2 linked regions of the Pelodiscus sinensis genome follow. The protein of the gene in region 1 interacts with the protein of each later gene in a biochemical or structural test. Links are inferred from orthologs where the notes say so. Each region holds a gene or a part of one and is shown on either strand. Other genes may lie near its edges.

The links.
Region 2: the proteins of TYRO3 (region 1) and GAS6 form a complex in vitro, tested with the Homo sapiens proteins (2 studies listed by BioGRID). The link is inferred for Pelodiscus sinensis from reciprocal best matches to the Homo sapiens genes TYRO3 and GAS6.

The regions. Positions count from the first base shown.
Region 1 is NC_134714.1:65,020,158-65,035,434, forward strand, and holds the start of TYRO3 (tyrosine-protein kinase receptor TYRO3), read left to right. Parts: upstream 1-7,885; 5' UTR 7,886-8,299; coding exon 8,300-8,387; intron 8,388-8,645; exon of another isoform or gene 8,646-8,761; intron 8,762-12,595; coding exon 12,596-12,779; intron 12,780-15,277. UniProt on the Homo sapiens protein: Receptor tyrosine kinase that transduces signals from the extracellular matrix into the cytoplasm by binding to several ligands including TULP1 or GAS6. Regulates many physiological processes including cell survival, migration and differentiation.
Region 2 is NC_134711.1:236,674,190-236,689,816, forward strand, and holds the start of GAS6 (growth arrest-specific protein 6), read left to right. Parts: upstream 1-8,913; 5' UTR 8,914-9,007; coding exon 9,008-9,074; intron 9,075-9,729; coding exon 9,730-9,896; intron 9,897-15,627. UniProt on the Homo sapiens protein: Ligand for tyrosine-protein kinase receptors AXL, TYRO3 and MER whose signaling is implicated in cell growth and survival, cell adhesion and cell migration.

The sequences.
Region 1 (15,277 bases):
AAGTCAGAGCCAGAAACTGAATTCAAATCTGCAGAGTCATAGTCACCTGCTGTTATCACAAGACCACATTTACCTTTCCAAATCTTTCCCCCTCCTCTCATTTACTCCCTCCCGCTTTCACTTCCTCCCGCGTTTCTGTGTCCACCTGTTTTCCTTTCTGGCTATCTCAGTTGTGCTCCCTAAGTTCTCACCATTTCTTTCCAAGGTCTCAAGAGTGTTTGATTTTGCTTAATCAAAGTGTCTTGCTTGCTTTCTGGGCACAGCCAGTTAGTACTGGTAAAAAATATCTACTACTCTAATGGACCATTTGTAGAAACAAAGGACCTGATACTGAAAGGTGCTGCACATCCAGAGCTGTCACTGTAAGGTCATGCCCCAAAATACTGACGTTTACCAGTAAAAGGAAAGATGATGTTCCATCCCACCTTTCCTCCTACCCCACCATGCTCACAGGCCTTGTCAATAAAACATTTCTTACAATTGCTAACCCCAGTTCCACTCTTCAGAGTTAGCCACGTTGGGGCACTAATGTAGACTAAATGCTGGTTAGCACCACCATTTTTAGCATTATGACCCTGATTCCCAGTTACTCCATTCCCACACCCGGCATAGGAAGGGGGTGGCCAAAGCTGGGTGATCTTTGTCACCTGTATGCGCCCCATAATCTGAGGCTGTTTGGAGGTTGCCACAGACCTGAGTGTCAGTTAAAGCAACCTCAGAACTGCTCTAACTTACCCTTTGCTTCCCATGGCTTCTGTGGGTTCTGGGAAACAAACAGCTGTAGCATTGTGTACTGGGGTACATCCTTTGGCCCACTCTCAGCTTCCCACTCCAGGGCCCCAACATCAGGGGCTGGGAGCACAGCCTGTATCATCCTAGTTCTATGCTGGCCAGGAGGCCCTTTATGCAGAGATATCCTTGAGGTGTTGTTTCTACTACCTAAAAGGCCCCTTTATGCTGCCAGATCATGGTAAAGGTGCCTTAGTGTAATGCCAGACCGGCCTCTGTGCCATCTAACCCTGCTCAGAGGAGGTCTGGTTAAAACACCGGCAGCAGCCAACGACATATCTACAACAAGATGCTCTACCACCAGTGGAAGCTGAACTGTGGTTAGCAACAGTAGACAAGGCTTGAGGTCTACTGGGCCTCAGAGTTATTGAAACATTTCCTAGCTCCACAATCTTAATGAACCCAAAGTGGCTGGCTGTTCTCCGGATTTGCTAAGGGACCGCTTCAGATTGCAAACCTCGTCCAATGAGTGAGTGATCCTCTCACCCCAAACAAAACCGAGAAATGTTGTTGGGTGGATCACAGAAATGACTATCAGTGCACGTCCATAGATACAGAATGCATTACAGAATTTTTCAGAAACAAGGTGTTTTAACACCATAGGGCAAATAAATAAGAAAAATTGTCCACTAAGGGACTGTTAACAAATACTTACTCCCAAATCATTTCTTATATATCTACTTGTAATTTGAAATTGGTAATTTGAACTACCTGTAGATCATATCTGTACCTATACATATATAGGGATTTCTTATGGCATTGACTGTTTCATTGTGTAAAAATCCTTTCTGTTTAATTATTCTGTATTGTAATACTGCATTTATATCCACACAAGAGAGATAGGGGGGATTGCTTTCACATATGCAACACAAAGTTAATCTGTAAGTAATGGTGATTGCAATCAAAACGTTGTCTCGGTCTTATAGGAGTTTTATCTATTTATACAAATGTTTTATGTAAGTGCCTACCACTTCGGCAAGTAGGCACTAATTGCAAAAGTTACATGATGCTTTTAGTCTACAAAAGTGCTTAGAGTTTCCTGTGCAAATGCTTAAAAGAGCCAGGTCTAGGTTTGGGGGAGTTTTTAGAGATGGAGTCATGCCAAAAATCTCAACTGTAAACCTCAAACCTGGGAAGGAGTTCAGACTGAGATTCACACTAAAATGAGTTAGCCCAAACCTCAGCTCTGAATGGCACTCCCCACTACCACTTAGAACATGGGGAGATTTTAAATCCCAATCAAGAGTCAGATCTGAGCTCTGTATCTTCTTGAGCTCATCTCTAATTATTTTTAGCTGGAGTAGTGCAGTCTGTTTAATATGATTCCCTTTCTCCTTTACATACACACATGCACAGAGTTAAACGATGGACATATGGAAGACTTAAGAACTGGAGGAGGCTGTAGCTTCCAGAAATACAAGAACTGGACACATTCCAGCATTATTTCCCAGAAGGGAGGTGATCGAGAGATAGAGGAGAGGGAGAAGGAAACATGAAAGGAAACAGAAAAGGAATGCTGGATGCATACACATTTAAGTGAAAGTCAGGGGCTTGATGTGGATAAAGATAACTCCCAGCCTGAGGTCACAATCAAGCCAGATAACATGGTTACAGTGCAAGTACCCCCAGCACTGTTAAAATGTGGTTCAGTCTTTTAGCATAACTGAAGCCTACATCTATTAACTGTGTGAAAGCCCCAGACCTGTCCAAGACTCTAGCATAGTCAGTCTGGGGACATTGTTAAAAGGATATTTAGGTGCAAAATAGAGACTGACCCAGGTATCAACTATGTCAGGGGACAGCTATATTATAAGTGGGTCCCTAGAATGGTTATTATTGTGCAATACTATATTATGTAAACAGCTAGGATTGCCAGATGGTTTCAACAAAAATACCGACCACATTTGACATTACATCACAATCTACATTACATCTTATTTAAAAAATACCGGACATTTATATTTTCTCAATTTGTTTCCCGAACAGAAAGCTCAAATACTGGACTGTCCGGTTCAAAACCGGACACCTGTCAACCCTATAAACAGCTCATTACTATGATGGGCTGGGCAGAGCATGGGAGATAACTTTTGCCAAACCAATTAATTTAATCTTTTCAATGTAGTGTTCACTAGGTATATGCCCTACCACTATCATCATATCCCCCATCTCCTTGGTTACATCCCTGGGAATGCTTGAGAAACCCTAAGGATTCCCACCAATTTCCCCCATCCCCTTTGACCATGCCTTGGGGCATATATTGAGAAGCTACCCTTAGTAGGCCCACACAGCTGGGGAAACCTGAGAGCTCATTCATGCTATTTGGCAAAACAAAAAGCATGATGCATCTCCCATTCTGATCTGGTGCGGAATGTGCTGGTTCAGCCATCCCCAGACAGCTCAGAAAGCATCTGAACAGTCATCCTGGATCTCCTTCCCAGCAGAGCAGAGCAACTCCTGCTACTTGAATGTCACTTCACTGTCACTCCTGCCAGCACTTCAATTTACTTATGTAGGATGACAGGCCTATCTTCTGACTACTGAAGGAACAACTTGTGCCCTTTGTCACTAACGTCAGAGAAAGGATAGGACTGGACATTCACATCTAAGTGTGAATTATGTCAGCTGTTTGAAGACCACCTCATTTAAAGCATCAGGAATTTGTGTACACCTGCAAGGGGATAGCTGCAGCAAAACCAAAGATGGATGTAATCTAGTAGCATTTGCAAAACTTGATCCCTTCTGACGCAGAATAGGGACACTGTGCGACACTAAAGTGAGGCCTTTATTTTGCAGACCTCAGAGAGAGGTTGTGATTGTGATGAAGACAAAGCTGCTTTCTCTTTTGATGGCTGGTTCTTCTTTTGTAGGTGCATTTTTCAGCAAAACCCTTGTAATTAGAGCGGATTGAAAAACTGCCAAAAAATCTGGCCAATATTTAAAAGAAAAAGTTTCCTCTTGCCTTTAAAACTTTGTCAACACTTTGACTAGCTCTGTATTTGGTCAAAAAAGCGGGGGGAGGGGGGGGGGCAGGAAATAATGAAAATTTTATCACTAACTTTTTCAACAAAATTTTGAATTTCAAAAAAATTTCAACATGCTCTCCTGGTACTTGATCCTTTGTAGTGCAAAGTCACTTTGTAGTGCAAAGCCTTTGCCAAAATCTATATAAAACATCCAATAGGTCAGGTGAAACATAAACACCCTAATATCAAAATAGAGGAAGATGACAAGCAGGAAAGTGACAGATTAATTATGAGTCATTGTAATCAATATGTAATAAATACTGTCACTGGGGCTATGTCTATACTACACTGATGTATCGGAAAAAGGTATGCAAATTGTGTACCCTGCAATTAGCGTACCTTTTTCCGATAGTTTTTTTCAGAAGAGGCTTTTCCAAAATTTGTCCCGTCTACACTTGGCCAAATTTTGGGAAAGCCTCCTCTCTCGGAAGAGCCCTTCTTTCTCATGGGAGGAAGACAGGGCTTCCGAAAGAGCACATCTGCTCTTCCGCAAAAAAAAGCAGAAGAGCAGACATGTTCCCTGGACATGGTGGAGTTTTTCTGGGATACCTCTGGTATCCTGGAAAACCCCCGTAATGTAGACATAGCCTGGTAGTCTATGGCCAACAGTACAAGGGCACTGTTGCCCAAAATCATTGATGTTGAAAAGCAAGCAAAGTTTGTTCATGATCCTTCAAAGCATTCAAAAGTCACAAGTTCTTTTTGATTTCTTCTTGGTAATATAGCACTCTTCTGTCAGTTTTCCCAGAACAATCTGCAATCCAACTGGCAAAGCATCCAGGATTTCAGTCCAGTTCTCATACAGTTCTTCTTCCTTATCACTGCGGCTATAACCCACTTCTGGGAAGATGTGAGGCTAGAACCTCAGCTGGTGTAAGTCAAAGTAGTTCTATTGAATTCAATAGAGCTATGCTGAGCTGTGAGTGTCAGGCCTATGGCCCTTAACAAAATGTTCACATTACATACTTATATTTGCAGATAAAGCTGTTCCTGTAGGCTTGTTTTTGGGATGCTGATAATGAGAGCTGGTTGAGAAAAAGGAAATAATATCCAGCAAACATTTGGACCAATTTATTCTATACTGCTCAAAAACTTTTAAAGTAATAACCATAAAAAGGTAAACATCTATTTCAGATTCTCCAGCAGCATTTAAGTACATTCCCTATAGGTTTCTTGCCTTTTCCCAAACTCACTACCAAGATTAGGAGACAGGGTTGTATGTAAGATAAAAATCTTTATAAACAATTGTTTATATCGCATATAAATCTCTTGGAGGTCAGATCTCTTTTTCTGTGTGTCAGTTTTTCTATTATTCCATCTTGTTCTCTGTCCATCTGGAGTTTGTTTCTATTATCTTGGCCCTGAGCACACTTGTAGGTGAAACATTGTTTAATAGTTACAGAATGGGACTGGGAATCAGGAAATATGGGTCAATCCTCAACTATGCTATGACTCCCGTGACCTTGATCAACTCACTTCATTCGTCTATATCTGAATTTCCTACTTATCAGTGCCTTAATTCCCCCATCTCTAAGTTGGTAATATTGATAACCATACCAGAGGGCTACTGGGACATATGTAAACCTCAACAGTTGAAATCTTTAGATGAAAAGTGATGTAGAAATGCCAAGTGTTAGTATAATGCCCATTATCTACACACAAGGCTGTTAAACCTTGAGAATATCGCTACTTTCAATAAGCAACATCCCACATAAATATGTGCATCAATATAGAGCATATATAGCTAAGTTTGTACATATGGCTTGAAGGAAGAGATAGAGATTAGCTATGGTGATTATACCAGAAGTGCTGTATGCTTTTAGCATTCATGCACACTAAGCATCATAGCCCAAGAATTAACAAGAGCATCACAGTCCCCACAAAGCATCTGTCATGGATTCATTGCCCCATGAGAACCATGCTAGCTCTTCGGTATACCTGATTTGTCAGTGTCTCGTACTTGCCTTTTCATTTCAGATGGTAGAAACAGAGAAGGGAGAGAAAACCCATTTTCATGCCAGTCATGGACCCCCACTTGGCACTGGGATTCCTAACAGAAATACAAATGCAACACCCTAGGGATTCCTAACAGAAATGCAAATGAGTGAGGATTTGTAGAATGCAGAGACCAGAGCCTAAGGCATAAGATATGTCGCTCTGTTGTGCCTCAGTTTTCTCATCTGTAGAATGGGGATAATAATACTTTCCTTCCTCACAGTGGACTTAATTCACAAATGCTGTCTGGGGAAGCCTAAAATAGAAAGTACCATATAAACGCCACACATTATAGTAACTATTATTATTACAAATCTGAGACTTGCATTGTGCTACAATGCTACTTATGATGCCTTTCAGAGGGACAATGATGAAAGCACAGTGTCACAGCAGGGGTGCTGGAACAATTTGTGTTATGGGGGGCAAGGGAGGTGCTGAGAGCCACTGACCAAACTGTAAACTCTGTATGTGATGGAAACCACTCAAGCCGAAGTGTGTGGCAACACGGTGGGCCGACAGCCTCACTGGGACCCTGAGCAAAAGGGGGGCCCAGCTCCACACTCCTGGAAGGGGCGTTGTCTCAGGTGGAATGGATGGAGCTAAGGCAGCCAGCCCTCATGCCACCCGGACTGCAGTGCATGCCCCCACACAGCCCAGCCCAGCCATCAAAGCCACCTGGAATGTGCCATGCAGTGCTCCAGCGATGATTTAAAAGTCCCAGGCCTCCAGATGCTGCCACTGCAGCACTAGCAATATCTGGGAGCTCTGGGTCCTTTTAAATTGCTGAGCCCCAGGGCAATTACCCTCTTCTCCCCTCCCTCCCCCGCCTGTGGGCCTGAGCAGCACCTCTGTTTCAGCACCCTGGTGTCGGGGTCTTTGTTATAGCCTTCCAGAGACATTTTCCCTCTCACAGAAATAGCTCCATGGAAATGGTTCCCTCTTCATAAGCTACATCATCCCTTACATTTCAACAAGCAGAAAGGGCCCAAATTAAGCCAACCAAGTCTCCGAAACACAGAATATCCCCAACCTCTGCCAAAGCTCCTCTGCAGATGAGCTGCAGGGACTGGTCTTCACAGATTGGGAGGAAGGTGGCCATTGCATATTTTCCCCACCAAAAGCCTTGAGAGGAAATACCTCTCTAGGAAATACCTCTGCCCACCAATCCGCACTACCTTCCATGGCTGGCTGCTGCAGGCACTCTGGAGGGTTGAAGGCTTTGCTGTGAATAGACATGTGCCCTGAAAGCAGGAGTACAGGATAACCCAGGCCTCTTCAGGGCATGAAAGATCTTCTGGGCTTGGGTCTGACCCACACAGTTGTTCTTGTGTCAGCATAATCCATTCCCCCTCACCCCTTCAGAGAGTGCAAGTCAGAGGAACTTCTGCTGTATGAAACTCAGGCCAAAACTTTCAGACAAAGCTACCTAGGAAAATTAGTCTCTGAAATTCATTGTTAGACACCAAAATAAGGTACCTCATTTTCACATGCACTGTCCAAATCCCCAGCAACTCTCCCTTATTTCATTATTTATGAATGCTCAGCACCTCTGAAATCAGGCCTCTGATTTAGGAACATAAATCTGCACTTAGAGCCTAAATGAGCACCCAAGTTTGATTTAAAAAATCCCCTCCCTCCAATCTCCTTCTCTTGAATGGATTTTTTCCTGTGCAGTGGACATCATGCCCCTTGTTTGTTGTAGGGTTGGTCACTAGAGAGCTGGCCTGCTGGCATTATTTAAAATAATAAATCGCACCAAAGGATTTCCTGGAGAGGGGAGGGAGCTAAAAGCCATATAAAGAATTACCTGGTCCTTGCAAATAAACTCTTGCCAGAAAGGTAGGTTATATTTTGACTGATGCAATCTCCACTATCCCTTTCCGTCTGGAAATTCCTGGGGGAGACACTGACTCCGTAGATCTGTTATTTTCCACTTTATTAAAAGTTCAGGAAGATTGGATAATAAATAGATTCTATAAATATTCATGAGACGTGATGTCACGGGGAGGTGTGGGGGTGCAGAGCAGCTCTGTGACTGCCTGGCAGCGCCATTTCCTGGAGAAAGAGGAGGAAGAACAGGAGTAAGAAGAGCCGAAGGAATTAGCGGCAGCAGCAGCGGGTGCCCAGAGCCGAGGCAGCCGCGGCTGCAGGGGCTCCATGCAGCCCGAGGCCAGCAGAGGGAGACCGCTCTGCCTCGCATTCCCTCTCGTGCTCAGTGACTCGCTCTGGGCAGAGAGAGGCTGAGCGATCGGGATTTGAGGGGCTTCCTGAAACTTCCCCTACACACTCCTCCACGGGCTGGCGAGGGCTCGCTCCCGCGGCGCCAGCCTAGTGCAGCGGAGAGCGAAGTTTGCACTGCAGCTTCCCCTCAGAGCGTCCTGGGAAAGGGCTTCGCTTTGGGGGTCCCCCCCCTTCCCCCTCCTGTGGGAGCACGAAGCAGCCGGCGGCGTGGAGCCGGGCGGGAGGATGCTGACGATGAAGATGCGGGAGCGATGGAGATGAAGCAGAGCATGGGGATCCCGGGGCTCCTGGTGCTGGGACTATGGGCTCTGGCACTCCGGGATACCGCTGCTGAAGCAGGTAAGGCTGCCCGGGCGGGCTCGCTGCAGGGGCATAGGCGAGAGAATTGCCGGGCGGGCCCTGCAAGGGGCTGATCTTCCGAGGGGTAACGCGAAAACGTTTGGCCCAGGGGGTCTCGGCGGCTTTGCTGCTGCCGCCGCCTTGTTTTGGAGCCTGACGCCCAGCACTCAGCCCTCGTCCTCCAGTTTCATGCTGGAGCGGAGCGCTGGGGCCGCCCCTCCCCAAGGTGTGTAAAGCTCCCGCTGGCCCTGCACTAACTCCACTTCCTGCGTCCGGACGGCGCGCAGGGGTGGGGGGCTCCCTTGCTAGACCCGGACGCAGCGCTTCATGCAGCGCTTCTAGCCGGCAGCCTGTTGGATCCGCGCTCGCTTCTTTATCGGCTGGTGGGACAAGTCAGCCGCCTCCTGGCGAACGCCACGTTCTTCCCCGGGAGGAGAGGGAGGTGACTGGTAGCTTTCTGGAGGGCTGTGGGTCTAGGGATAGGAGTTACTCTTAGTGCTGCTGCATTGAATTGTCTTCAGCAAACTAATCACACCAGTCCCCTGGCTTCGTTTTGTTTTGTTCCCAGTTGTCCCTAAGCAGGTCTTGACTTTGAGGAACTTGGTGGCTATTTTCAACGGCACGGAGGGTTTTGTGCATTTTTTTGTGTGCCTATGCCTTCTCCAAATGGGATAGATATGTGCTCTCTGCACCCTATGATTGGTCACCCAGCTGGCATGGCAATGTTTCTGCCCCCTGATGGGATGACTTAGACTTAAATGAGTGCCTACAGTGAAGATCCTCAATCCATATGTCAGCACCTAAATAAATGGCCTAGTTTTCAAAAGTGGTGACAAATAGACCATTTATGGATCAGGCCATCTGTGCTTCAAATGTGGGTGGAGTAGCCAAAAATAGGCACCTACATTTGAAAATATTGGCCTCAGTTTTTTATCTCCCAAACACAATTTCCTTTGCAGTGGCCATTGACTTCATTGGGACCTGCTGATCACTCTTTTGAAATTCAGGTTGCTTATTTATGTGCCTGTATTTGAGGAGGGTGTAAGCATGCCTAATCTTAACCTCTTGAGATCCTGTCCGGCCATACATTTCTATGGATTTATCAGCCTAATTTGAGGCATCCAGATTCGAATATCTTGTCCATTAGCCTAAAAAATATACAGACGTCCCCTTTCTGTTTGTGAATTATCCATCAATGATTGACTGTGTGTGACTAATAAGAAGAGCTTTCCAAAATGGTGAGAGCACTTCTCACGCAAATGCTCGGAGGAAATACTGATTCAATACTTATAATTTATGAACCTTATGCTTGCTGCGAATTATTCTCTTGAATAAGACCTGGATGGTTGCGAATAAATAGAGTCCTGAATACCAGTTAAGTGAATCAGTGGGACTGTTTGCACAGTGTTGTTCCTGTATTTGCAGAGCTCAAGTTGCTATATAGGGAGGCCAGGTGATAATCCATTCCTACATGGCTTTTATTTATTTTCCTTCCAGCCTACATTTTCCTAGTTTCAGCTACAAGTAGACATACAAGGACTTGATTTTATAGCCTAATCCTTCCACATACACGTTTCCCATTGACTTAGCTAGGAATGTAGGCCTCAATCCTACGTTTAGATCCACATGGGTGGAGCACTGTTGGTTTTAAGGGTTTGCCTTGTAGATTTTGATTGCTAGATTGGGGCCCTCACGTATCAAAGGAATGGAAGGTCTCTGCCTTAGGTAAAAGTCTGCAGCTATCTGTTTCTCCTGCCATTCCAAAAACAACTTCAAAAAACTTCTGTCTTTAGTAATCAAAAGGTACTACAGAGTTGTTATAGTAAAATACACTCTGCATGGAGAGAGATAACCGGAGCACTCATTTGTTGTCTGTTCTGTCTGAGAGCAGTATGAAGCTAATATGATTTCATTTCCTAATCAGTTATGAATCTTCTACAGTTGTCACATTGTGGGGGGAAAAAGTTAGTTTTTTTTATTTCCTGCACTAGTTAAAATGTTCTGATATAAAAATGGAGAGTAGGAGGAGGAATAATGAGAAATAAATATTAATCTTAACCTCTCAAGTGCACAAAAAATCTATAGCTGATTCTTCACAGCCAACTTGTATGCATCATTCCCTTCTCTTCAGAAAAAGGTGCTGCAGCTAAACTGCATCTTATGTGTATCTGTTAAAAAATGTGTATCTGTTAAAAACTCCAAGGTTATTATTTTCCCTTTCCTTTCAGTTAAGATCTATTCATTGATTACACAGAAGTGCTGTAGAAAATAGTCAAATAGAGTATACATTAGCACTGTATTTTAATTTCTAGCATAATAAGGTTGGGTGGGAAATGAAACCTGTAAAGGCTTTCCAGATATCATATTGTGTACATTGTAATTAAACCTTTCGGCAAAGCAGATTGGAATAAGTTAAGTAATTTGCTGTTTGCTAAGGCACCTATTATGAAAGAGTATCTGCCAATTTGTGTGTGCATTTGGATACCTGGCTACATTGGGTTTATATAAAACAGATGGCTTTGTATTGTGAAATTTTAATGCTCTGTTTCAGTATTCTGCGTGGTGAGAGGGAGGATGCTTTCTGGGACGCACTGGGATGTGTAATTTATGCCACTTTCAAGTTAAGTAATCTGAGGTTAGATCGTCCTCACTCAGGTGATTAATTCCTTTGCCCAACCAAAGCATTGTTGCATCTAAAGTTAAATGAGTTTCGGTGCTATTAGTACATTTGCTAAATGAACAGCTCCTCACCCTTCTTTACAGTTGCTAAAACACAGCTGAAAATACACACAATATTTTTCTGAGAGCACTGTGATTTTGCTATTGTTACCGAGGGATGCAGTGTAAGAGCAAAGGGAAGTAGGGCAGGCAGCAGGCCATTTCTGTATTCAAATACACTTCATGCTATGAAAAAAGTTTGAGAATAGTGTGGCTGCATGCTTAATTAAGGGCAATCTTGGCTTCTACAGGCTAGTGTTTTTCTATCATAGTGCTGTGGGCTGGAATGTCATCTGATGATAGATCTAGCTGCATATGAGCAGAGCTAGTATCTTAATTCTGCACAGCGGATCTAGGGCAATAGAGTGGTGGACAGGTTAACCTTTCTCTGAAGGATCCAATATAGTCCACTGCTAGAGGCAGGATACTGGGCTAACCTGAACCATTGTTCTGTTCTAGTTTGCCAGTCCCTGTACTAATGGACACGTATCCAGTAGGACTGGATACTTTACCTTTGTCGTCCATCTTTCTGCTTTATCAAGGTCTTCCCTCATTCTCCATATAACTGCCCATCTTTCAAAAATTTACTTACCCAGTTGCTTTCTGTGTTTTTTGCAAGGTGACACATTCCACACATTCATTTCTCATTGAGGGGAGTGCTTCCCGCCCACACACAACTGCGCTTTCAGCCAAATGCTGATCACTTTTACACCAGTGTCAGTCACAGTAATTCCACTGATTTCAGATGAGTTATTCCAAATTTATACTGATGTAACAGATCCAGATTAGGCCCTTTGTCTCTGTTCTGGAAATACGCAATGGCTGGCTGAAGAAAAATGGAAACGTGTTCTGGAAACCGTTCCTTCCCCTCCCCAATAGGAATGCTTTAGAGTAAGTTTTATTTTCACTTGGTTTATAAATTGCATTGGAGCTTTTGTAATGCAATAGAACAGTTTACACTGAGCGACCTGCTGTGATTGAGTCTAAAATCCCAGTTCTTTACAAATGCGTACACAGTGGAACAGAAGTGAGGCCTTATTTGTAGTATAGGAACATAGCATAACCCCTGAAAAGTGAAAAACCGTTTGGGGGGGCAGCATGATATCATTCTGAGGGAACACACACATCAACACTGCCAGAGCACTGCTGTGAAGAAGCTCATGTTTTTCGTATCTAGCTGTGCCTGGGCACTGCTGTGTGGAAGCTCATCCTGCTGCTATCCAAACTGGCACTGGTTTTGAAGAAGCCCTGGATAGATTAAGCCTCCACCATTTTCAAGTAATCAGAATGCCAGTATTCTCATTTTATAATCATGACACAAACATAATAAGGCTCTGGTGAGGCAGTTAGAAAACTGTGCAGTGTGTTCTTGTACATTATGTCCTTTCAGACCCCCAACCTAGATAAACTTGCTCCATACCAACCCCCACTTCTTTTGGGGCTGTGGAGGAGGAGTATTTTTTTATTTTTATTTATTTTATTTTTTTTAGGTATGAAATTGACAGGATCGCCAATCAAATTAAAGGTGTCTCAGGGTCAGCCGGTAAAATTAAATTGCAGCCTCGAGGGAGTAGAAGAACCAGAGATGTTGTGGATCAAGGATGGAGCGGTGGTGCAGAGTGTAGACCAGGTGTACATTCCACTAGATGAAGAACACTGGATCGGTTTCCTCAGGTACAACAGCTGTGGAGGAGATAGACCATCATGGAAGCTGTCACCTACGTCAGTGGAATCCCACTGACCACCATGTGATTGTACCTTTCTAGCTTGCCTGGGCATAACTGAGAATGGAATTTATTCCAAGGGTTGGATTGTATCTGGTAGAATCTGAAAAGGCTCCTAGACACTGTGATGCTTTGGAAATGCTAGATAGGCCAGTGGTCAAGAGGTGGAAGGTGTTGCTTATCCTATCAGAAGTTCTTTAAGCCATCCAGTCCTGCAGAATCTGTGAAATTATAGAGAGATAGTTAGCTGTATTTTTTTCCTCTCCCTTTAAAAAAAAAAAAGTAAAACTTTTCCTTGCATTCTGTGTAGAGATGTAAATTCCTGTTTAATTGGTTAACCGGTTAAATGTGATGTTAACCAGTTTAACTGACTAAAAGAGAGGTGAGTGAACTGGAGTGTCCCCCAGGCCACAGGCAGGGGCTGTTCCAGCCTGGCCTTGTCGGCAGCAGGCTTGGGCATGTTGCAGGCAGGGGTTGCTCCAGTGGTCCAGAGTAGCCTGTGTGGTGCACCTGCGCACATTATGAACAGCGACTGCTCCAGATGACTGGAGCAACCCATATCTATGGCAGGCCCGGCAGGCGGGAAGCTGTTCCAGCCCCCACCAGATAACGGGTGATGCTTACTTGTTCACTGGTTACCCTTTCACATCCCTAATTCTGTGTTGTATGCACTCCTGAGCAATATTGTGGATATAGGATGGTTTAAAGGATTATTAAAAGGCAGCAGGGTCTCTCACTTTAAATCCCCAGTTGAAGTCCAACCTCAGTCAGCTGTGTCTGAAAGTCCTTGCCATCTGAAGTCTCTTCAGTGGTCACAAAGATGGGTTAGTAGTCTCAGCCCAGTTGCCAGTAAATAGTTCTTCATCACCACAGTTGGTAGTATTGCTGCTAGTTCAGCAGAGGACTGAATGGACCTGGAGGCTGAATTACCTCCTCAAAGTCTTGGGGATTGCAGTAGACCAGAGCTAAAGATCAGTGCCGGGAGAAGCTTTTGCCAGTTGTATTCATGCCATATCTGGATAATCAATAGGGGGCTCTCTGTCCAGCTCCCTTACGAGCACTAGAAAATGAATAAAAACAAAAAGCAGTATGGTAGGATGCTTTCATCTTGTTTGTTCTAATAAATTCTGCAGCGCAGCTGGAAGCTTAAATTCTGACCTGGATAAATAAATTTTCTCTCTTCCTCTCCCTCTCTCTGACTAAAAGGTTTAGGTGTCCTAATTAAAATTAGACTCCTGGGACCAGATTTCAATCCTGTTTGGAGAGGAGACTTTGTCATGCACACCATCCCTTAGTCATAGCACATTTATTCCAGCATTTATATCAGGCCTGCTCTTGTTGGAGGCCTCAAAAGCTGCCTGCAGAGCCAGCCTTTTCTTCTTTATACTTTTTCTTCAGCAGTAGGTGGCCTGTTGTGTATCCCAGGAGTAGTACTGGGTTACACAAGGGCCCATGCTCCATATCGGATTTCTCCATGCATAAGGGAGTTTAGTGCAAAACAGCATGGTCTGAGAGGGAGTGTACTTGGAGCTGCCAGGAGCAGTCTAGGATCATCCATTCGCAAGCACAGGCTTCCTCCCCTCCTTTGGATTAGCATATTTTGGAGTTTAATTCCTATCACTAAGGCTATGTTTACACCACAACGCTGTTTTGGGATACCAAAGGTATCCCAAAATAGCTATTCCGCGCTTTTTTAAAGTGTGCCTGTTGTTTCAAAACATATTGGTTCACTATTCCGACATTCCTGTAAACCTCATTCCACGAGGACTAAGGGACATTTTGGAATAGCAATTTATTTTGAAAGAAGTGCTGTGTAGACAGCGCCAAATTTCAAAATAAGCTATTTCACAATTGACTTGAAATAAGCTACACAATTTGCATAGCTCAAATTGCATTGCTTATTTCAAGCTCTGGGTGCAGTTTAAATGCACCCTAAGAGTCATTGGAATTGCATAGATTCAAACGATAGGGACCAGTAGATCATCTAGTCTGACGTGTATAACATAGGCCATTGCTTTTCACACAGTTGTCCCAATGGTGCGTGAGACCAGTAGGCTAAAGCATTTCAGCTCTGAGGAGACTAAGCTGCTGTGTCCCACAGGAAGAGAACAGGAGAGACCAAGGTGCCACCAATGCCCTTGCAATGGCGGGGAAGTGATAAAGAGAGATATGTCCAGATAATCCCAGCAAGTGAACCATGCATCATGTAGCAGAGGAAAGCAAAACAAAAAACCCAGAGTCCCTGTTTATCTGATTCAGGGGAAATTTCCTTCCCAACCCCAAACCTGGCAGTCAGTATGACCCTGAGCAAGTCCTACCAGCCAGATCTCTAGACATAGGATTCTTTGCACCACTTTACAGCAGTCAACTAGCCTGTCCAGTGGCCCATCTCCAGCTATGTCCAATCTCTGATGCTATCCCTCCAAAACGGACTAGATCTAGCCAGTT
Region 2 (15,627 bases), on another chromosome or scaffold:
GGCCCACGGGCGGCTCCGGCTCCATGCTGCAGAGTGCTGTGGTGTCTTGAGCGAGAGCAACCAGAGCACGTAGAGAAAAAAATGCTTTGCTGTCCCACAGCGAGATAGGCAAGAAAGCAGGGAAACCTTAGAACCGGCTGTCGGGGGGGAGGTCCCTTTAAGCACAGGTCTCAGATAGCCTCAGGCAGCAGCCACACAAGGTAACTCCTTACCTAATGCCTTGCCAGAACCGGTTCTGGCCAGCCTTAAATGTGATTCAGCATCCTATCAGTGTGGACGCGCTATTTCGAAATAGCAAAACTCTATTTCAAATTGCATTTTGTGTCTAGATGTGTTATTTCAAAATAACTATTTTGAAATAAGCTATTCTGAAATAATACTATAGTGTAGACACCACCCTTACTGAATTCCAGTTCATTGGGTAATGAAATTCCTTTGTAGAAGAATGGCTACTTTTAAATCCATGATTAAGTGCCCAGCCACGTTAAAATGTTCCCCTACAGGTTTATGTGTGTTAACATTCCTGATATCTGAGGAGAACTCAGTTACATGAGAGATGAGCTAAGGAAGTGCCTGGTGAAAAGGACTTGCAGAGAGGAAGTTAACCTCGCCTGTGTAGGATGTAGGGAGGTTCCTGGGAAAGCTGCTGGAGGTTTTATAGAAGTAACCCAGTGAGGAAACCTGCTGCAAAGAGGGGCCTGGTGCAGAGAAAAAGCCCTGGGAGGCTTGAAAACCCTGGAAGGACCCTGCAGGATTTGGGATTAAGGATGAAGAGCAGGGAATCTCAGTGTAGGGGCAGAGGATTATTTGTTTAGATGTTTCTTTGGCTTTTTATTTGGACTCCTAAGCCTGGAAGGGGACTACATTTAAAAGTAGACCTTGATGAAGTGCTGGACCATGCAAGTTGTTGACAGAGAAAGCCACTGCAGAGCCACAGGACTGATCAGCAGTGTGCTAGAAATGATGAGAACCTCTGCAAATCCTTGTTCTCATGGCAAGGCTGCTAGGGTGGTGAAGGGAACCTTTACAGGCCTCTTGCTTGGTTTAGGTCATAGAATTCCTCAAGCTCTAGGCCTACAGACATCCAGTCTTTAAAATCAGATAGCGTAAAAGCCGCAACCACACTGTTATCATAGGTGTACTCTATTTCTAAGTACAGGCAAATACTGATGTTTCAGATGCAACTGTGTGATTAATGGTAGCAAAACCCTGACTGTTTAAAGGCAACTCCTGTATGAAAGCATAATGTTGACTAATGTCAATAACAAGAGCCTCCCAAACCATAAAAATAGAATCTGCCCCACTCATTGTGGTACTGTATCCTCAGAAAGCTGTTGGCTAAGTAGCTAAGCTTTGCCACATATGGACTCTAGGGGCATTTGAATTCTAAACAGACAATGTCTAAATATCTTGAACTCTTGACTTATTAATTACCTCACGTTTGTATTAGTAATCATCTGGGCAGAGGGCTTTACTGAGGCTCTTCAGCAAGAGTTTTATTTCCCACTAACTGCAGAAAGGTATATAAAACAATGATTAGGGCATGGTTACAGGCAGTGTTCAACAATGCTTTCACTTACTCTTATGTTTGACAGAGGAAATTAGTTATAACAAAAATATAGCTCCATGCTAGTGAAATCAGATAAACAAAACTGGACAAAAATGTTTATTTAGCCAACATTCCACTGTCTTTAATTTGGCCAGCACATCAACCTTATTTTTGAAAGGCTAAAGGCCTTCTTTGCATTTTGATTGTTGTTTAACAATTTCACAATCATTCTTGTAAAAGTCCTTTTTAAACCATGATGGAAATCATGTGGGTTTTTTTACTTTAATTCTGTGGTGCCTGGCAAAAATACCGTTTTGCTGATAAGCAGCATACGGCATATCTCAGAAAACCACCATGCTGGACAACATGGAAAATGAAAGCATGTATGACCTTCAGTATTTTCTGCCTTTTCAGGGTTTTTTTTTATTTGGAAATTGCTCATCTGCACATTGGAAGCGACATGCTGTTATATCTTAAGCATGTATCTTTGAAATGGAAGAATAATATTGGGGAGAAAAAAACCTAACATTAAGGCAAATATGGTGGACACACACACCTGCCTTTAGATTAAGATTTTATTCGTGTTCCCATCATGTGCTCTGGGTTCAGTCAAAGTAGATCATCTTGAACTTGACAGGCTTGGAGAACACTGTACAATTATTATCATTTTGGTAAGATGTCAACAGTTAGTATCCTAGCTATACATTACGAACAAACTTTATTAGTGAATTATTAAATTAATAGTTTTAATGCATAAGAAGTCACAAAACTCAAGTTAGGCAACATTACCTAAGGCATGATGCACAGCTGTATGTTTATCGTGCAATTGAAGCCAAATCTGGATCCCGTCAAAATAATTTCAAAGTAATGGGCAGCTTATTTTGGTTTTTGTAAACCTCATTCCATGAGGAATAACACCGCTTTCAAAATAGCTATTTTGGAATAACAATAGTGTGGATGTTCCACTGCTGCTATTTCAAAATAGCTTTTCCCCGAGGTCATTCAGAGTAATTACTCCTCAGTGCCTTTTGGGGCTCTAAATCAAGATAGTGCATCCACATTAGGGGAGCCTGCCTCATACTAATTTCCAGGCTTCCCTGTAGTATAGACACACTATTTCAAAGTAAGCTATTTCAGAGTATTTCTTCCAGAATAGCTTATTCCAAAATAATTAGGTAGTGTAGACATAACCTTGGAGACTACCTTCTTCCTAGTTTTACTGAGGCATAAAAAAAGCAAAAATCTTACAACCTGTTATTGCAATGTACTTTTAGGGATTCAAATATCAATAGCTTCCATTTTCTCCCTTCCGTGTAATAACTGATTCCAGGAGTTGTTTGTACCAGTAGCTATCTGATGCTGAGATAGTGGATCACTTTGTTAAAAACCTGTATGCTCCCTCATCACAGAGTCCAGTGAATGCTACCTATTGTTTCAAGGGCTAGCATGCTAGTTCTGTTTCTCACAGTTTCTTTTTTTCTAGGCATTTCCCCTTACATCTGGCTTTTGTGAGACTTGAAAAACTTAATGGCAGTCAATAACAAGGTTCAATCTGATCAGCAGCATTACATCTGGACACTAATTCTTCAACAGATACAGGCTTGTAGGAATTTGTCTTCAAGGAAAAACATGTCATTGTGCAGAGTTGCTGATCACAGTAGATATTAAAGATGTTGCTTACTAAGTAAGATATCAAGCTATTGCCAGATATGTTGTTTTAGAAAACTATTTAGAATTAGGATGCCATTAAATTATTCCTATATAATTACGAATAATGGTGTTTAAACTGGCAAATAAACTACAGGCCACATTCTCAATATGTTCATATCTTTTCCTTACTTTCCCTTTTCCTTTCTCTGTGGATGCCATTATGAGAACCGTCCCCTAATTCTTTCATAGCATGACGCACATCTCAACAGAAAGTTCACCATGAGAACCATGTCTCCTTTCTTTTATGATTGCACAGGCTACCTCCATTCCCACAGGCTACTCTTTCTTTCTGGAGACTAAAGCAATAGTTTACACAGGGGAAAGTATTATGAGAAAGACATCTAATGTATTTTACCTCCTTTTAGTGCAGTTTAGCAACTGAAAACAAGGGGAGTGACAGCTCCATGTGACCAGACAGCTCTGAGAATCACGAGAAAGTGCTCCATGGACCAGTGTTTGAGAATTATCATGTTATGACAACTATTTGTTTCGCACCAAAGCCAGTGAAAGGCAAGATGGCACCTATCTCAAATGTATATATTTTAAGATATCTTTAGAAAAATCAAAAGTTTGTGAATCTGAGGGAGAAGGAGAGAAATGGGGTCTCATCTGCACCAAAGGATTTAAATTGTCCAAAATGCTATGGGAGAAATTCTGGCACCATTGAAGTCAATGGGAGTTTTGCTATAGGGATCAGTGGAACCAGAATATCATTCCTCATAATCAATTTCTTGTTTGATTATTAAAGTTAATGAGAACTATAAGCTAACTATATGGGACACATTTCAGAGAATGGTGTATGTGCCAATATGCTTATGTTCTCATGTATCCCAAACAATTCAGCTACTCTGGACAAATCTGCCCACCACTTTGGGGCAAATATGTTACACACACTTTTATCTGGAATTGACACACTACAGGAGTTTATATTAATCATTATATTTTAGCCATTTTTTCCTAATTTTAAAATTTCCCTTGACAGGGAATCTTGAACTTATACATAACCCTTAACACTCAGTAGTAATGTATGCAGAAGTGAAGTTAGCATTTAGAGGGATGTATGATCTACACATTGTTTTTGATCAAGAAATAAATTATGCATTTTCTTGTGAAATACTATAAATGGATTTTGTTTAGGGCTGGATAATTTTATGACCCATATTTGTTATAATAAAACTTTGTCTTATATGACATTGATGATGCTCAGCTTTATAGTACCTGATCCAGTCCAATTAGTTGGTTGCCCAGCCTAGTGTTTGGATCACAGTTGCCCAGGAATTCTTGTTTTCCCAAGAATCAAGGTAGGGAGGAAGCAGGCTAGGCTGCTACATTTTTCATGAGAGAGAAAGGAAAAAAAGGGAACAGAACCTTCCAGTTTGTGAGGAGCCAAGCTGATCCATCCTGTTTCATTTCCTTTCCCACCTCTCCACCATTCTCTGCTATGAAAAAGTGGCAGTTCACTCTGCTTTCTTTCTCTTAATTGCTCACTGGTATGGTCATATCATTGAAACCTGCATAATGTAGATCCACTGGACCAAAATACTGGCTTGAGTGCTGGGCCCCATTCACTAACTACTTCCTAGAACCATAGTACTGTAGTAATAAATCACGTGTCTGAATGCTTGGACTAAGGATTCTGTACTTCAGTCTTATGCCTTTTGGCTTCAATAATCAGTCCATGGGCTGATCCCTTTGCACTGTGCACTTTACCTCAGGATTTGACCTTAATAGTTGGAGTGACCGTGCCAAGAGAGAAAATATATCCCTGAATTAACATCCCATTTTGTTTATGCCTGAAGCCACTTTTGAATTTCAATTACAATTCTGACCTCTAATTAAAGGAAATCACACTGAGCTGAATTCAAGACAGCCACGATGGGGACAACTTTACAGTTTCCTGTCCTTGAAAAATATGATTTATTTCTTGGCATCACACTGAGAACTGCAGTTCCAACAGTAAGCAGCAAATTCCAGATCTTAATGTGCTAAGCATATTTTGGCGCATTCCTAGCTGGTAGTGTTCGGGTGTTCGGGGTTAACAATCCTGAATTTTACCTTCTTTGTTATAAGGATTTTCACATTTAAGCATGCTATTTTCCACCACCTTTAAATTTCAAAAATATTCTAATGTAATTTTACATTTTTTGCTATAGAATGTAGAAAATTTTACAGCTATAACTTACAGAATTTTGATGGAGACAAAGGCTGAGGAAAAAAGGAGACTGAACATTTATCATTAAACTTGAAGGGATGAAGCTTTCATTGGTGTAAATGTTGATTTCATCATGCATAAACCAACAAATATTTCCATTGCTACAGTAATAGAAATTTATAAATAAGCAAAATGAGAAAAATACTGCTTGAGATCTTATTAGCATTTCATATAAAAATATTTACTTTATGTATTTATCACATGTAGTATTGCTAATTTGTGAGTTTTTTAATGATTACAAAGCTTTATACTTTTTGAATCTCAGCATCTACTGCCATTAAATAATTATTATTTGATCTCCTCCAATAGTGTCTCACAATAGTGAACATTTAAATGAATATTGAAAAGCTTTAAAATTACCACCAGTGTGGTCAAAATTATAAAAGAATAAAAATCTAAAGGTTCGTCTAGATTGCATTGCTCTTTCAGGATACCGGAAGTAACCTGAAATAGCAATGCCACGTCTTTAAAAGTGCCTGATATTTCCCAAAATAGTGGGTGTGCTATTCCAGCATCCTAGTAACCCTCATTTCATGAAGATTAAGGGATTTGTCAGAACAGTGCCTTATTTTGAAATCTGGCACAGTTCAGACAGCGCCAAATTTCAAAATAAGCTCTTTCGATTTAGACTCAGAATAAGCTATGCAAAATGCGTAGTGCAAATTGTGTAGCTAACTCCGACAGAAGGGTGTTGTCTAGATGCACCCTAAATCTTCCAAGTCTACCCATCATTTCTAATGATGGTGCTACAGCTCAGGTTTGAGGCATTTTAGTCATGTGGGAAAACTGTGTAACTCAAAAGATAAAGGCCTTCATTCTCCACTGAGGTCAGACTAGCATTTTTCTTTAACAATAAAGTACTTTGTAGGATGGTAAAGAGTCCCTGTCATTCACCTAGCTGAGGGAGGGCTGTACAAGGGGAACAATTCCTTCCTGACCTCCACAGTTGACCATCTTTTATCCTGAAGCATGATTTCTGATCACCTTATCACTCTTATCAGTATCTTATCTCCCACTTTACAGCTACATTGTGCAACTACAAATTGTATCACAAAGTTAACCACTTTTTAGAATTTACAGTTACAGGATTTGGCTGAATTAATTCTGTAGCAGTGATTTTTCACAGACCAAGAATACATGGCATAAGGAATAAACTTAAAAAACAACAAATAGTCTTGCAGCCCCTTAGAAACTAACAAAAAATGTAGATGGTATCATGAGCTTTTGTGGGCACAACCCACTTTAGAAGAAGTGGGTTGTGCCCACAAAAGCTCAAGATACCGTCTACATTTTTTGTTATTCTCTAAGGGGCTGCAAGACTGAGGTTTTTTAAGTTAGGGTATGCCTACACAGCACACTTATTTCGAAATAAGCTATTTTGGATTTTTTCCCCCAAATAGCTTTATTTTGAAATAGCACATCTACACTACAGGGGAACCTCAAAATTAGTCCTAGGCAGGCTTCCCTGATGTGGATGTGCTACATCGATTTAGAGCACCAGGAGGCACTGGGGAGTAATTACTTTAAATGGCCCTGGGGAGGAGCTATTTTGAAATAGCAGCACTACTGCTATTCTGAAATAGCTATTTCAGAATAAGTGTTAGTCCTTGTGGAATGAGGTTTACAGATTTCAAAATAAGGTGTCCATTATTTTGAAATTATTTCAAAATAACAAAATTGCTTTGTAGATGCTCACATTGTTATTTCAAAATAACTGTGCTGTGTAGATGCACCCTCACAGACTAATAGTGCTTCCCCTCTGAAACTTTTGAACATGCATGGCACAAAGAAATATCTATAACTTGTTCAAACTATTAATATTCCTTTATTTTTAAAGGGGCCAGATGAAGAAGAGCGACGGACAAATACTTTTCAGCACTGTGGATACCTTAATCAAATACTGTTTAAGTTTTTTCCTTACCAGTTCAAATTAAAAAAATGTATAGTCTCTTATCAAGGCCAACCATTTTTATATTCTCAGACATTTGTGGTGACCCTTGTCATCTCTTCTATATATTTCTTAATGTGCAGTGACCTGTACGCTCACACTTGCAACTAAAGATTTCTGTGCCCATACAGTACTTCTTTAAAGTCATTCAGGGTTAAAACTGGACACACAGGCTGAATATAATTATTTAATGTAGTGTTGTTTTAATGTTGTATGCATTGTTTTCAGCTAATGGCCTCCAAGGGGAAAACATGCCCTTAGAACTAATTTCATGTTTTAACTGCTACTGTGTTCTGAGCAGAAGCATTTATGCATATTAAAATCTCGTATTATATTTTAAAAATATTCAAACATCATTCATTGATCAATCAGTTTGGGGCTTTCCCCCACATATTTACATAAGCCTGAATATTGCAGATATTTGAAGGATTTACAGCCTCTCTGTGCTACCCATCAGTGTAATGCTGAGGAGTCATAGGTAACTGACAGATATGGGAATACATCATCTTGGTTAAACCAACATCTACCAAACTAGCTCTAAGTTTTCCCCTGAAAACATTAAACTGAAAAGTGGAAGGTTTATTGTGAAGAAAAATATATAGAGGGAAATAATCTATTTTAACTAGAAGTGGGTTTGGTTTGACTCCTCCAGCTTTATTCCCACTAATAGTTGTAATCAATTTCAGTACTTAAATGCCATCTGATTTCAGAGAGAAACTTCCCCCTCCAAACTTTTGGGTAAAATATCCCTTTAGGTATTAATGCCACGGCTGTGCTGCTCATTTAGCTCTCCCAAATCAACTACATCTCAACCGGTGTTTAAGAGATGCACAGCAACTAGCCGCCCCACCACCAAGTAAAATCCTTAATGCTGAGTCTGAAACCTGCCACCCAGTTGCCTCACGTTCAGGGATTCCTGACATGTAGACAGCTGAGCAGACGCCCAAGCACTTGCAGACTGGGATGTGGCTCTCCAGGGCTCAGGTACTATGGTGACGAAGGCCAAACAAGGCAGCGAGGGCAGGGGATTGGATTGGGAGGCTGATTACCCCTTGGCCCCACGTGTGAATGCCCTATGAGGATGGACTGGGGGGGGGGCAGCCCTATGAGGATGGACTGGGGGGGGGCAGGACCGGCCTACAACATTTTGGCACCTGACACTGGAGCTCAAATGACGCCCCCTCGCTGCACTAGCAACAGACACAATTTTCTTCACCCTGGGTCCTAGTGACGCCCCCCCCCCCCCCCCCCCCCAGTCTGGCACCTGAGGCGGCTGCCTCAGTTCGCCACATGGTAAGGCCAGCCCTGGGGGGGAACCAGCTGCATTTGTCCCCTGAGGGCACAGGTCGGTCGGTTCCCGCTGCACCCTGGCCCCCCGCCAGCCCTGCACCCCCGCGGCGCTGCACCGAGCCCGGAGTGATTGGGTGAGAGGCGCGAGCGACTCCCCGGCCGGGCTCTCGCAGCCGCCTGGCGCGCGCGCTGCTCGCCCTCCCCCCCCGCAGTAGCCGCGCTCCCTGCGCTCGCGCCGGACCGCCCCGCTCCTCCTGCTGCCGCCGCCGGTCCCAGCAGGGCACAGCCCAGCCGCAGCATGCCGCAGCCAGCGGCTCCCGCGGCCGCCCTCCTGCTGCTCCTGCTGGCTACGGACTCCGCGGCGAGTGAGTGCCTCGGGGGCCTCGCCTCCAGCCCGCTCGGGGGGGAGGCGAACGTCCCTTGCCCCTTGAGGAGCCCCATCTTCCCCCCTCCCCAGCCGCGGCAATGCACCAGTCTCTGCGCCTGTGTGCAGTAAGGCAGGAGCTTCCTCCCCTTGCTCCCAAGGGCGCCCAGAGAGCGTGCGGAGGGGGATGGCTGGGGCGTTTGCTAGGGACGCGGTCTGGCATTGTGTGGGCGACAGGGTAGTGGGGGGCAGGCTGGGGAATCCCCCTGGCTGAGGGGGGTCTGGGGGAGCAGTAGCTTGGTGACTGCCCCAGGGGGAGTGCATGAGTGTAGCGGCGCAAGGTGCAAGCGGGGCGTTGCATGGCTGGGGGCTGCACGGGGCAGTGCCTTGTCTGCCCAGTGTTGGGGGGGGGGGGTGCATGACTGTGTCTCGTGCGGCACGGGGGACAGTACGGCCGGGGCAGTGCTTTGGGAGTCGGCCCGCGCCATCGGTGTCTAGAGCGGGCCAGGCTGCTGTGCACGGGCTGGGCTCGGTGAGGGGGGCACGCCCGTGCCATTGTTCCGTGAAGTTCCCAGCGGGCGGGTCCCATGAGCTGACTCCTGTATTTACCGCTGCTTCTCCTTCCCCGCTGTCCCTGTGCGTGGCTGCGGCCGCAGCCGTGTTGCTGCGAGCCACCGAGGCTGCCCAGTTCTTGCGGCAGAGACAGCGCCGAGCCTTCCAGGTCTTCGAGGAGACCAAGCAAGGCCATCTGGAGCGGGAGTGCGTAGAGGAGCTGTGCAACAAGGAAGAAGCCAGGGAAGTATTTGAAAACGATCCTGAGACGGTAAGAGTTGGGGGTGATAAGCGGCGCCTCCGGTACATTGAGGGTTTTACTGTCAATCTCTCGCGCTCTGGCCACAACTGGAATGAGGGCGCCAGCTGTCAGCACAGCTGGAGAAGTTGTTTGGGGGAGGAGGGGAGCCATTAGATAAATAAGTGAAATCACAACACTTCCCTTAACTGCGGTTTGTTAGGATTGTCAGACCACGCAAATATAGCATATAAAAGGAAAAGGGAAAGTCCGGTTAAATTTGCTGGGCTGACATAATTTATATGCCATTGCTATTTAAAATGTCCATATTCTCCATTCAGACTTAAAGGGCCAAATTCACTCTGGTATAACTTCAGCACCTCCAGGGAGTTACGCCAAGGTGACATAGTGTTTCAGTATTTCTGTCTGAACATCTGTGTCTTCCCCTCTTCTCCCATCCCTTGAATCCTTTTAGCTCTGCCCCAAAACAACATCAGAAAAGAAATTTCTGGGAAGAAATACGTCATAAACAAACTGTAAGACTTTCAATCCATTTTTAGTGGGTACAGTAGTTTGAGTTTTTGCTTTAGGATTGGGAATGCTCTAAATGAGAAGACGGGAGGACGGAAATAGTGACTTTTATAGCATTTTTTATAAAGTGGCTGTTCTGTAAATCTGAATGGCATTTATCTTCAAATTCAGTTACATCCTACAAAAACAAGGTACAAGTTCTCCTGAGTTTTTTTTTATCTTAAGTATTCTTCTTTTGTGGCACTTTCGTTATAGTAGTCTTGTTTGGCTGACCTTTATTTTCTTTTCCAATTAGCGTGCATCTTCTGGATGTCCTGTTTTGAATAAACTGTTTCCTTTTGTGGATTATCAGGGATTAGTTTAGTGGTAGGGAGTGAAATTCTTGGAGATCATATTGGGGCTTAAAATTGCACAGTGAGTTCTTGTTAATGGCTTGATGCTTTTTGAGTGGAAGGAGTTACATGGTTCAGGTGTGGTGGTATGGGGAGTGAAGGCCGGACTTGACCTTTCATTTTGAGTCAATGTCTCATATTTAAGTGAAAACATGTCTAGACATGTATACCTTAATAGGCTAACAGTGCATTGGCTGCATTACATCACAGTGCAATGGATAGTTACAAAACAGAAGTAAAAAGGAAGAAATTTGCAAACTGATTCTAGTGCTGATTTTACTTCTGTCTGTTCAAGAGTTTAAGATCAAACTCCTGTTTATTTAGGCCTACTAAGACTGCCTGCGTGCATACTCTGGCACCCAGATACAACAGTGTTTGGTGCTCTGTAAAAAAACATAGATTGAACACAATATAAACAGTTGTAATGGCGTGTCAGACTGGATGACACAATTATTTTCCATACTCCTATTAAACTAAAACCTTTTAGTAGAGTCTTGCACACATTTCATGAAGGTGCGCAGAGAAAATAAAAAATCCAGAATGTGAACTTTGACCATTCATAAAGTTAATCTGCGGTCATCAGTTGTATTTATTGGATTTTCGCCAAGAAAATCGGCAAGGGTGAGCAAGTGCATATGAGATTTGTTCAGTGGAAGGGTAGACGGCTATAAACATAAGTAACAATTATGAATAATAATACTTGGCACTTATTTCACACTTAGGAAAATGTTAAAGCTTTGTTCCTGTTTTGAAGACAGTGAAGTAATTTGGGTTTTACATCTTACCTGTAGCTGTAAATGAATTCCCTGAGACATAACCATATTACTTAAACACCTTTGAGTAATAAATATTTAGCAGTTAATGGTTTGCTTTATATTCAGGCCTGGCCCTAGGACAAGGTGAGCAAAGCAAATGCCTTGGGCCCTGCACTTCCGGGGCCCGTGCTGCTGAGTATTCACCATCCACCAGCCAAGCCTGGGGCCCCGCTCCCAGCATCCTGCCTTAGGCCCGCAAATCCTTTGGCCAGGCCTGTTTATATCTGTGGTTTTATTGTATTGTATTGTAGCTGGTGGGTCTCTTTCTAATTCTAAAATAAAACACCTTTAAGGGAATATTGTTAAGGCTGACAGGCCTGCATATTTGTGTCCACTTGCATATTCTCAATGCACCCAAAATGTTATGTTTTTAAAATGCTCCATGCTCTGCCGGTCTTCTTCTGAGACAGCCACCAGCCCCTTTCCCTCCCCACACCCAACATGCTGAATTTGTTAGCAATTTGCACTTGCTGGTTTTTGCCTCAAGACAGATTTTATGCCCATTCCAATCTAGTTGCAGATCAGTATGTGGCATAAAGATGACACTAGTTATGCTGTTTGACAATCAACTAACAATTATGGACAGAGGTAAAATATCTATGTTATTATTACTGCATCAATTGGGAGGCTTCAGTGCTATTAATCATAAGTAATTACAGTAGGTAGCAGGGATTGATGAAGCCCCATTAAGATAATACTGCTTCTCCTTTGACAGAGCCTAGAAGAGTATGATGTACAGTTGTTTTTCATCTTTTAGTGCTCTCAGCTGAAGAACTTCGCACGACTTAATCTTGTCATCTCTCTTTCTTTTCATTTATATGAGGCAACTGGGAGAGGGGTTGCTAGATGCTATGATCTGTGATGCTATCAATGCACAGATGACAGTCTTATTCTGTTGACAGAGAGAATCAGAGATCTCTGTCTCTGAGAAACAGCTGTCTCAGACTCAATTCAGGAAAGATGGAAATGAAGTTAGATAGCAGTGCATTGCAGGTTGAGGAGCTATCAGTAGCTGTGACTTCACTTCTCGTCAGAAGATCTCTGTCCTTAAGTTGTTAAAGATGGCTGGAGATTGCATCTGTGAGTTTTGGGTGTGGGCCTACCCACAGTGATCTTGGCTTTGGCCATGTCAAGAGACAACTATAGTGCCTTTATTGGCTGGTCTTGAAGGCTAACCAGAAAGGTAACTGATTCAACAGACCCAATTACAGAGTGTCAGGAATACATAATTCCAACACTCTGGTTTATGGGTGGGGTTTATCCAGTCCCAGGTCTGTTCCAAGCTCCTGATCCTTACTTTTAAAGCTCTAGATGATCATGGGCATAGTCACATGAATGACTGCTTCACACTACAGTTTACACATGACAGCTGTGCTTTCTAAGGAGTCCCAAGGTCTAGTCTACACTCCTGAGTTCTGTCGACTTAATTATGAAAGTATCTATGCTTAAATTTCGCTTCTGCCTCCATAAGCACCTTGCTATACCAACATAACTCCACTTTCAGGAGCTGTCTCACAGTGCCCTATATTGGCAGTACAATCAATACATTGCTGGTGAGGACACAGACTGCTGACACGAGCAAAATGCAGACACGCACAAGCAATGTAATTATTGCAATGGCTGTATGCCAGTATAAATTAGGTTGTCTTAATTTTGTATAGTAAATGTAACCTAAGGTTTAGTCTAAACCCATTGCATCCAACCAATTTTCAAGCAGTAGCCACTATAGTATAGTGTAGGAGTGTTAGCGAGTAGTCAACTGGAGTGTTAACTACTTCCTTCCCCGCCCTTTTCTGCCTCTATGAGAGGCAGCGAGGTGCAGGGGGAGGGAACAGGAACCGGTGTTGAGGGGAGCTGGCTTAAAAGCCAGTTCCCCCTAGCACCAGCTCCTCGGTGCTGCCTGCCCCAGTGTGGAGGATAGAGAAGGCTGCAGCAAAGCAGCCTCTGCCTGTGATTGGCTGAAACTCGCCGTGGGCAGAGGCTGCTCCTGCAGCAGCTCCTGTTCACGACCAGCCCTGGTTGCTGTATACAGGGGTGTAGGACTCAGTGCGAGCTGGGACTGAGCAGTCCCGGCTCGCGCTGGTCTGGGATGCTGCGCCTATGCATTTAAATATAGTAAAAGTCCAGCAGCTCTTACTGCTTTTAAAATGCAGAGCCACAGCGCAGGTGGCTCCCAGAGTCAGAATGAGTCGGGCTGCTCAGTGCTGGCTTGAGCTGGCTCCTGGAGCTACACCCGCTGTGGCTCTGCATAGCGGTCCTTATCGACTCATTATGTAGTCAATACAAATTGTATCAATTACACAATTAGTCAGATAACCATAATGTAACGTCCCTGCTATAGTGGCTACTGCTATAGCAAGCTAGCCACACTCAACCAGCCAAATAGCCACATTGTTCAAGCCAACTAGCCACATTCAACTGGCCAAAAAGCCACATGTGACTAGCATGTTGGACACCATGGGTCTAAACTAAGGTCTTGTCCACATGAGGTAGCTAGAACATAGTAAACATGGGTGTGAATTTAGTACAGAGTTATTTTTATGCTTCAACTCTGCATGTCAACATTCTTACTGCATTCTAAACCTCTGGAAGTTTAGTTTACTTCATGTCCAAAGTGTATTAAGCTAGTTTGCAAAAAGGCACTCAGTAAGAGTCTGTGGGGGAGTTAGTACAGAATAGTTTACTATAAACATTTTTCTTATGTAGATAAACCCTTACATTTCATGATATGATATGAAATCATATTAGCTAGTTTAGTTTAACTAATATCTTCAAAAACTTTTAGTCATGACAAGTCAAGTTGTACTTTTGTGTGTGCTAAGGTGGTCAAATGTAAAGTGTAGATTTTCTCCTAATCCTAAAAAGTTTACGCCAAAACCAATTCTGGCATTTTTCTCATGGAATGATAGTTCTGTTGACCCAGTAAACATAAATTAAACATTTTGGCTTGCAACTACAATAAGTAGGATGACTACATGGTTGTTATTTTGATGTCTTGCATGCATTGTTTAGAAGCACACGTGCAAACAGATATTAGTAAAGATGTAAGCTCTCTTTAACTTGAATAATGGTGTTATCGCATTTGTGATTACTTGTAACAACTCTAGTTATATTATAGCAGGTAAGATTAAATAACCATTTATTTGCAAGTAAATACAGCTTTTTATTTTATATTAAGGAGACTATTGACTAGTCCTAGCCTGTGAGAGAGAAGATCATTTATTACATTTCTAGTCTGAAACTTTTTCCTATTTTTAAAAGAAAACAAGATTGTTCTATCTATATGACTATAAATGGCAAAAACAAATACACGCTACATTGACATAGTCTTGTAGATTATCTTTTAGATTAAGCTGAATGAAAAATATTTATGTATAGGCTGAAATGTTTTGGAAGCTAAAAGAAACGAGAAAAGTAATTAAAGAGAATTTCAACATAATATCAATGGAGAAAAATAAGAAAGGGAGCATGTTAATGGAGGAAGATTGCTTCCTAACACTACATTTTAAATAGATGAGCTAGGTGTGATAAATAAGGTTGCAGTTGCAAAACATCTTAGTTATAGAGATAAAAGACTGTTATCTTAGTTAAAATGTTGATAAGAGCCTTGTATAAAAGGTAGTAATAAACAAATATTTGCCTGTAGTATTCACTATTAGGTGCTATTAGCTTGTAAGCCTTCTGATAAACTGCTCTGAAATTTGACTGACCTATTCTGAAAATGAGATTTACACAATTGTACGAGTAGAATGAAGGGTGAAAAGGAAAGTGACTAGCAATTTTTTAGTGAGCATGGATTTCCCTTTTAAAAAAGTGTTGTAGGTCAAACTTCATATGAGGTGGGTTAGGATGTTGACCCTTGTTTTCAACAATTGTTGCTGCTACTGAGCTGCCACAGCAGCTATTTGTAACAATGCTCACTGGTTTCCATTGTTATTATTACCAAAAATTACTAGTATTTCTCCACTTAGCTCCTCTTCCATCTTTTCACCATTACATTCCTTCCTACTTTTCTAATGTGATATT